Canis lupus familiaris: one gene and its partner. The main gene of each other region encodes a partner of the protein of the gene in region 2 in a complex. Links are inferred from orthologs where the notes say so. Each region holds a gene or a part of one and is shown on either strand. Other genes may lie near its edges. The genes, in order: PSMB10 and PSME4.

Region 1 (4,592 bases), on a different chromosome or scaffold from region 2:
GTAGCTGCACAAACAGCTGTGGGATGGAGGCATTTGGAGCCAAAGTGCAGAGCAGGGAAGATGTGAGCTGTCCTGCCCACTCTCAAAAGGGCAAGTGGATTCCACCTCTAGACAGGGTCTTTTTTTTTTTTTTTTTTTTTAAGGTTTATTTATGAGGGGGCAGTGGAGGGCAAAGAAGATCTCAAGCAGACTCCCCACTGAGCTCAGAGCCCACCGCAGGGCTCGATCCCACAAACCATGAGCCAAAATCACAAGTCAGATGCTCACCTGAGCCACCCAGGAGCCCCCCTAGACAGGGCCTTTTGAGGGCTAAGTGGATATCAGAAGCACAAGAGTTTTTAGAATCTGAGGGAGAAACAGCCCCTAATCAGATCATTTCTCTAATGATGGTGTAATTAAGGGAACTAAGTGGTCTGAGAGAAAAGTTTAGGGAGCACCAAAGGGCTGAGTCTTGGGGGGTCAGGGAAGGCTGCCCAGAGGGGATGGTGCCTATTCTGAGATCAGACGGGATGAGAAAGGTCATGTGGGCCGCTATAACTTGGGTTTTTTTTTTTTTTTTTAAGATTTATTTATTTATTCATGATAGACATAGAGAAAGAGAGAGAGAGAGAGAGGCAGAGACACAGGAGGAGGGAGAAGCAGGTTCCATGCCGGGAGCCTGACGTGGGACTCGATCCCAGGACTCCAGGATTGCGCCCTGGACCAAAGGCAGGCACTAAACCGCTGAGCCACCCAGGGATCCCCTATAACTTCGGTTTGAACCTAAGAACAATAATGCAGTTGCTGAGGGGGTTAACCAGATTTTCAATCTAGGAGACCCTTCTCTGGAAGGTAAAGCTAGCCCGAGGCAGGGACTGAGGAGCGGGAAGCTTGGGGAAGCCAGGAAAGGCAGTGCGGTATCCAGAGGGGACAGGATGCTCGCGGAGACTAACGCGGTAGTTAGGAGAAAGCTGCCAATAGATAAAGGGTCATTTGGGAGGTGAAATAAGGCTTGGCCATGGGTAGAGCCCAGCATGCCTCCAAGCCACGAGATGGGCAGCCCCACAGCACCCCTCTTGTGAGAGGGAAGATAGCACCCGAGACACGGAAGGTCACCATGTGTCACCACGGTGGATAGAGCCTTGGTGTTTCAGATTTCAGGGAGGAGGCAAAGGCAACAAAAGAGCTGAGGGAGAAAGGGCGCCATAGGACAAAAGGCAGCCATGCCTGATGCTGTCGGGAGGCCAGGACTAGACACCTGGCCAGTGTGACAGCCTCAGGATTGAGGGACTTGAAGTCAGAGCTGGGATCGGGATCCTCAAAGCTAGGGCTCAGGCTGGAAGGCGGAGGAGCTGCTAACATCCCCCGACCCAGGCCTGACCCAGATGGAGCTGTCTGTCCCTCTGTACAGACTGAGGACTAGGGAGCAGGATGGAAAGCCAAGCGAGGACATCTCCCCTTTGACAAGCTGCCTGGGACCAGAGGCAAAGGTGAAAGTGAAAGAAGATGCAGAAAGGGGCCAGCCAAGCTCAGGAAAGGTGAAAGCGAAACCAGGAAGCCCCGGACCAGCCAGGCGGGTGCGGGACAGAGGACCCGGCTTGGGCCTTTCTTGCTCCCCGCTGGTCGCACAGAGACCCCCAACCCCTGGACCACCCTGCCCACCTGGAGATGCTGAAGCTGGCGTCAGAGCCCCAACGGGGCTTCTCCTTCGAGAACTGCCAGAGGTGATGGGGGTGATGGTCTAGAGCTGAGCTGCTATGCTCTCCCCGAAGGCCTCGGGCACCGACACTCCAGGGCCTTTATTCCCGGTGGGGGCGGAGGGGCGGCAGGGTGTGCTGGGCGACTTGGGTTGCCAGGCTCCCGCCGCTAGACGCGGGCGAGGCTGGGACGTAGTTGGAGGATGTGATGCGGCCCCAGAACCCCAACCTGGGCCACTCCACTCCGTTTCCAGAAACGCATCCTTAGAACGCGTCCTCCCGGGGTTCCGGATCCCTCGTGCACACAAGACCGGAACCACCATCGCGGGCCTCGTGTTCCGAGTGAGCAGGGACTTGGGCCTGGGGGCTTGGAGGGGCTGCTGGGGGATCCAAAGCCACTGGGCCAGCGACCCTCTCCCACCAGGATGGAGTCATCCTGGGCGCGGATACGCGGGCCACTAACGACTCGGTCGTGATGGATAAGAACTGCGAGAAGATCCACTTCATCGCCCCCAAAATCTAGTGAGAAATCCCCAACCCCGACCCCCTACTCAAGACCAACCCTGCCGCCGGCCCCCCCGCCCCCCGCCCCCGGCCCCTGCTTCTCCGGGCCCCACCCACACCGAGCCTCCACTCGTTCTCAGCTGCTGTGGGGCTGGAGTAGCCGCGGACGCCGAGATGACCACGCGGATGGCGGCGTCCAACATGGAGCTACACTCCCTGTCCACGGGCCGCGAGCCCCGCGTGACCACGGTCACGCGCCTTCTGCGCCAGACCCTCTTCCGGTGCTGGGGCCGGGCTCAGGCGGCCCCGGGGACGGGCGCGGCCGGGGGGCGGGACTGAGGGGAGCTGGGCCGGGCGGGGGCGGGGCGGCCAGAGCCGGGACCGGAAGGGGCCGCCCCAGGAGGAGCCGGGCGGCCGGAAGGAGCGGCGCTGCCCCGGTCGCCAGCACAGGAAGGGGCGGGGCCCGGGCCCGGAGGCGGGGCTGACCACGCCCACTCCCCCCAGGTACCGGGGCCACGTGGGCGCGTCGCTGCTGGTGGGCGGCGTAGACTTCTCGGGACCGCAGCTCTACAGCGTGCACCCGCACGGCTCCTACAGCCGGCTGCCCTTCACCGCCCTGGGTGAGCGCTTCTCCCCTTTCCCTGCGGCCCTGGCCTCGCGTTCGTCCCGCGACTGGGTGGCCACGACCGACCTCAGATGCCCCTCCTGCCCGCAGGTTCCGGCCAGGACGCCGCGCTGGCGGTCCTGGAGGATCGGTTCCAGCCGAACATGACGGTGAGCAACACCTGTCCCCCACGACGTGTTCACTGACGGGAAGCGCACGCGGGAGTTGGGGTAACACACAGGGATCCTAGTAGAGGTCAGGGAGGGCTTCTTGGAGGAGGTGACGATTGAGTGGAGGCCGAGGGGCCAGTGGAATCAGAATGAAGTAGTGCTATTCCAGGAGACGATCATCAGCGCCAGAGTTTGAACTGCCCGGAGAAGTCAAAGCTCAGGACCATGTGAAGCTGAGGGAGGAGGGAACGGCAAGTGGGGTCTGGAGTCCCGATTCTGTTTGAGGTGGGATGGAAGTGAATGACAGGTGTTGCTTCAGAGGCGCCTAAGGCCCGGAAGTGAAAGAGCAGTGAGCTGGTAGTTTGGGGACCGAGACGCATTGGTTGGGGGGACAATCCTGGAAGCAGAACCGTAAGTGTAAGAGAAGTTTGTGAACATGGGACAGTGAGACAGTCTCTGGAGAGAACGAGGCAGAGGCCAGGGCAAGGGAGTCTGGGCTGGCTGGGGGAATAGGGAATAGGGGTCTGGGTAGGAGCAAATGGTAAATAGTCTGGGCTTTGAGATGAGCAGAAACCTGTAGGCTGTAGGCTGAAGGGCGCCAGCAGGGTCCGGCAGGTCTCCCCCACACGTATCGTCACAGCTAGAGGCTGCGCAGGAGCTGCTAGTGGAAGCCATCACTGCTGGGATCCTGGGTGACCTCGGCTCCGGCGGCAGTGTGGATGCATGTGTGATAACGGGGACCGGCGCCAAACTTCTGAGAACATTAAGCTCCCCCACAAAGCCCACAGAAAGGTGGGAACTTGGGAAATGGGGAGACCACTGGGGAGGATGGGGCAGTAGCAGGGCAAATGGGGGACTGCAAGATGGACTATATGATGGGCCCAAATTGAGAGGCTGTCCTTCCCTTCTCCCAGACCCAGCCAGTACTACTTTGCCCCTGGGACAACAGCAGTCCAGTCCCAGACAGTGAAGCCACTGACCCTGGAGCTGCTGGAGGAAACTGTGCAGGCAATGGAGGTGGAGTGAAGTGGGATGATGCTTAGGGCTTGGAACAAGGAGGAATAAACATAGAAAATAGAAAAACACCTAAGCAGATGGCTGTGTCGTTCCTGGGTGGAGAGGGGACAAGCAGCCATCAGGACTCTGGCTAATGTACACCTGCAGGTGCCACTCCCTGCCGTGGCTCCAGTGCCTGGCCTAACAGGTGGCTTCACCCATCACCTCAGGCATCTACTCCTCCGGAACCCCAGCCCTAGCAAGCACGGCAGCTACAGGAGGGGAGCCCCCTGCCGACTCCACACTGCAGAGGTCCCCTGCTGCTCCAGTGCCTTGCTCTTGCCCTCTAGTCCACCTGGGAATGTTGTGAAGTCCAGAAGGCCCCCTGCACTGCCCCCGCCTTGAGTCTTTACCTGGCTCATCAGCGTCCCACAGCAAACCCCACACCCCTCGGTCAAGGACGGCCCCGTGGAGCTCACTGAGTCAGCCTTGAGTATTGGTAAAGGAGCTGCTCCCTGACTCCAAGGGCAAGTTCTCACAGAACACTCCTCCCCCCTGCAACACCTGTACCCGTGGAACCCCTCCCTTGACCAGGCACACCCTGAGGTGCTAACACCAAACAGGCCTTCTATTTGAACGTGC
Region 2 (2,601 bases):
ATGAAATGTTCTCATGACTGTATAGGACCTAGGGTTTTCTGGGCGACCCAAAACGCTTAGGCCCCACTCAGCAGGCAACAAAGAAAATTTCTTTTAACCACTTGCAGGATACTAAGCCTACTCGTTTATAAACGTCCAAAAGCAGTCACTTCAATTCTCTGCTTGATACCTGAAGCAGAGAAGCAGGGAAAAGTTCTCAGGGAACTTACTTCCACTGGTCATAGCATAGGTCGCATTAAAAAAAATTTTTTTAATTGTCTAAATAAGGAGGACAGCTGAGAATGTAAGCAAAAAGAAAACTTATGAGCAGTCACTTCTCAATCATCAAACCCATGACATCTGCCAAGGATGTCAGACTTCCTGAAACCCCGAATATTGCTGACTTACCCTTCTATGCATAATAGCACGGTGACACAAGGAGATCGGTGAGAACGAGCAGCTGGTCATCTGTGAACTGCTGTTTGTGTTCTTGCCAGTTGTCATGGTGCGTCCTTCGGAAATTGGATAAGGTCTTCTTTACAGTCATCTGTAGAGGAGCAACCCACACACATTTTACTTTAACCTCTCAAAGACTAGGATTATACTCAGGAGGATAACTTCAGCCAAGTAAAAATCCCTCCAGACTTCAGATCTCACCGAGTGCTGCAAAACCAACAAGCCAACTGTAACTTCCCAAAGCTCATTTTTTTAAAAAAAGATTTTATTTATTTATTCATGAGAGACAGAGAGAAAGGGAGGCAGAGACATAGGCAGAGGGAGAAGCAGGCTCCATGCAGGGAGCCTGACGTGGGACTCGATCCCGGGTCTCCAGGATCACACCATGGGCTGAAGGCTGCGCTAAATTGCTGGGCCACCCGGGCCACCTCTTTAAAGTGACTAGCTGCACTCGGGGAGAGGCTACTGGCCCTTACACCGCATTATGAAACGAGTTTCAAGACACACCTATAGCTCTTTACCAAAGCGAGAAGCACAAAGCCATTGGTCTCGTCAGTCATTTAGACACAGCTGTTCTCAAAATAATACCATCACAATTTCCTTTTTAGTATTAGCTCCCCGTTAGACACTTCCTAGATATAAAATGTTAGTAAAACCAAAGAAGATGAACTATCCTGACAACACTGACATATTTTACTTCTACTGGACTGGGAGAGACAGAAGCTTTAGTATTTCCTTGCTACCAAAAGATCTCAAATATACATGAAAACAAGGCCTCCCTCCACAAGATGTTACTAATTACTTGAGTAGGCTTAGCCCCAGCAGAGGCAGGAGCGGCAGCAGCTCTATCAAAGCAGAAGGTCCAGAGTGACAGGAAACTACCAGTAAAATGATTTCTTACAAAACATCACTGATAAAATACGTAGGCATAGAAACTAATACGGAAGAATTTTACCTCAATAGGCTGCGGATCATTCAGATGTGCACTGAGATTCATAAGGAGCTGGGGCATCCAGGTGGGAACATCATAGGGACTAGAAAGAACACATGCACCAAGTCCTAGCACCCCCGCATGACGTTTGACCAACTCTGAAAAACAGAGCAAAAAAAAAAAAAAAAAAAAAAAAAACTCCGCCAATAAATGTGCGAATATTTATAGGACTCTCTGGCACATGTTATGGTAAAATAGAACTAGTTTTTGATTAATCTAATTGTTTCCAAAGTGTGAATTTCTGCATTAAAAATGCATCTGGGGGGATCCCTGGGTGGCGCAGCGGTTTGGCGCCTGCCTTTGGCCCAGGGCACGATCCTGGAGACCCAGGATCAAATCCCACATCGGGCTCCCGGTGTATGGAGTCTGCTTCTTCCTCTGCCTGTGTCTCTGCCTCTCTCTCTCTCTCTCTGTGACTATCATAAAAAAAAAAAAAACAAAAACAAAAAAAAAAAAAAATGCATCTGGGGATGCCTGGGTGGCTCAGCAGTTGGGTGGCTGCCTTCGGCTCAGGTTGTGATCCCAGGATCTGGGATCGAGTCCCACATCGGGCTCCTGTGTAGAGCCTGCTTTTCCCTCTGCCTATGTCTCTGCCTCTCTCTCTCTCTCATGAATAAATAAATCTTAAAAAAAAATAAAAATGCATCTGTATACACACACACCAAAAACATGATTTTGAGGCTGAACTAAAGACATCCTATAGCTGACCCTCAATGACACATCATATGACAGGTCAGAAATGTGTCACCTATTTGCTAGAACTTACATAATGATAGTTTTGATCAATTCATATCTTATGCAAAAGTACAATTCCTGATCCTAAAACAGTCTCTTGCTCTCTTTTTAAAGATTTTATTTCTTTATTCATGAGAGACACAGAGACATAGAGGGAGAAGCAGGCTCTCTATGGGGAACCTGATGCAGGACTCAATCCCAGGACCCTGGGATCCCAACCTGAGACAAAGGCAGATGCTCAACCACTGAGCCACCCAAGTGCCCCCTAAAACAATCTCTAATCAAAATTACACCCCACTTTTCTGGATGGGACTACTCCACACAGAATGTATCAAGTCATGAGGCAAGAACATACTGTATATGAAGAATGTCTGCATTTCTCAAAACAACTGCATTCTACGGGGTCTCTAATTCTTTTTTTTTCTAGATCTATTCCTTCT

Evidence for each region.
Region 1: PSME4 (region 2) and PSMB10 share a complex: the UniProt entries of both Homo sapiens proteins name them as parts of the spermatoproteasome. The link is inferred for Canis lupus familiaris from reciprocal best matches to the Homo sapiens genes PSME4 and PSMB10.

Annotation. Positions count from the first base shown.
Region 1 is NC_049226.1:82,145,416-82,150,007, forward strand, and holds PSMB10 (proteasome subunit beta type-10), read left to right. Parts: upstream 1-1,507; 5' UTR 1,508-1,647; coding exon 1,648-1,703; intron 1,704-1,930; coding exon 1,931-2,018; intron 2,019-2,100; coding exon 2,101-2,198; intron 2,199-2,320; coding exon 2,321-2,461; intron 2,462-2,684; coding exon 2,685-2,800; intron 2,801-2,895; coding exon 2,896-2,954; intron 2,955-3,594; coding exon 3,595-3,746; intron 3,747-3,868; coding exon 3,869-3,980; 3' UTR 3,981-4,039; downstream 4,040-4,592. UniProt on the Homo sapiens protein: The proteasome is a multicatalytic proteinase complex which is characterized by its ability to cleave peptides with Arg, Phe, Tyr, Leu, and Glu adjacent to the leaving group at neutral or slightly basic pH.
Region 2 is NC_049231.1:56,139,900-56,142,500, forward strand, and holds part of PSME4 (proteasome activator complex subunit 4), read right to left. Parts: intron 1,525-2,601; coding exon 1,391-1,524; intron 527-1,390; coding exon 392-526; 3' UTR 388-391; intron 1-387. UniProt on the Homo sapiens protein: Associated component of the proteasome that specifically recognizes acetylated histones and promotes ATP- and ubiquitin-independent degradation of core histones during spermatogenesis and DNA damage response.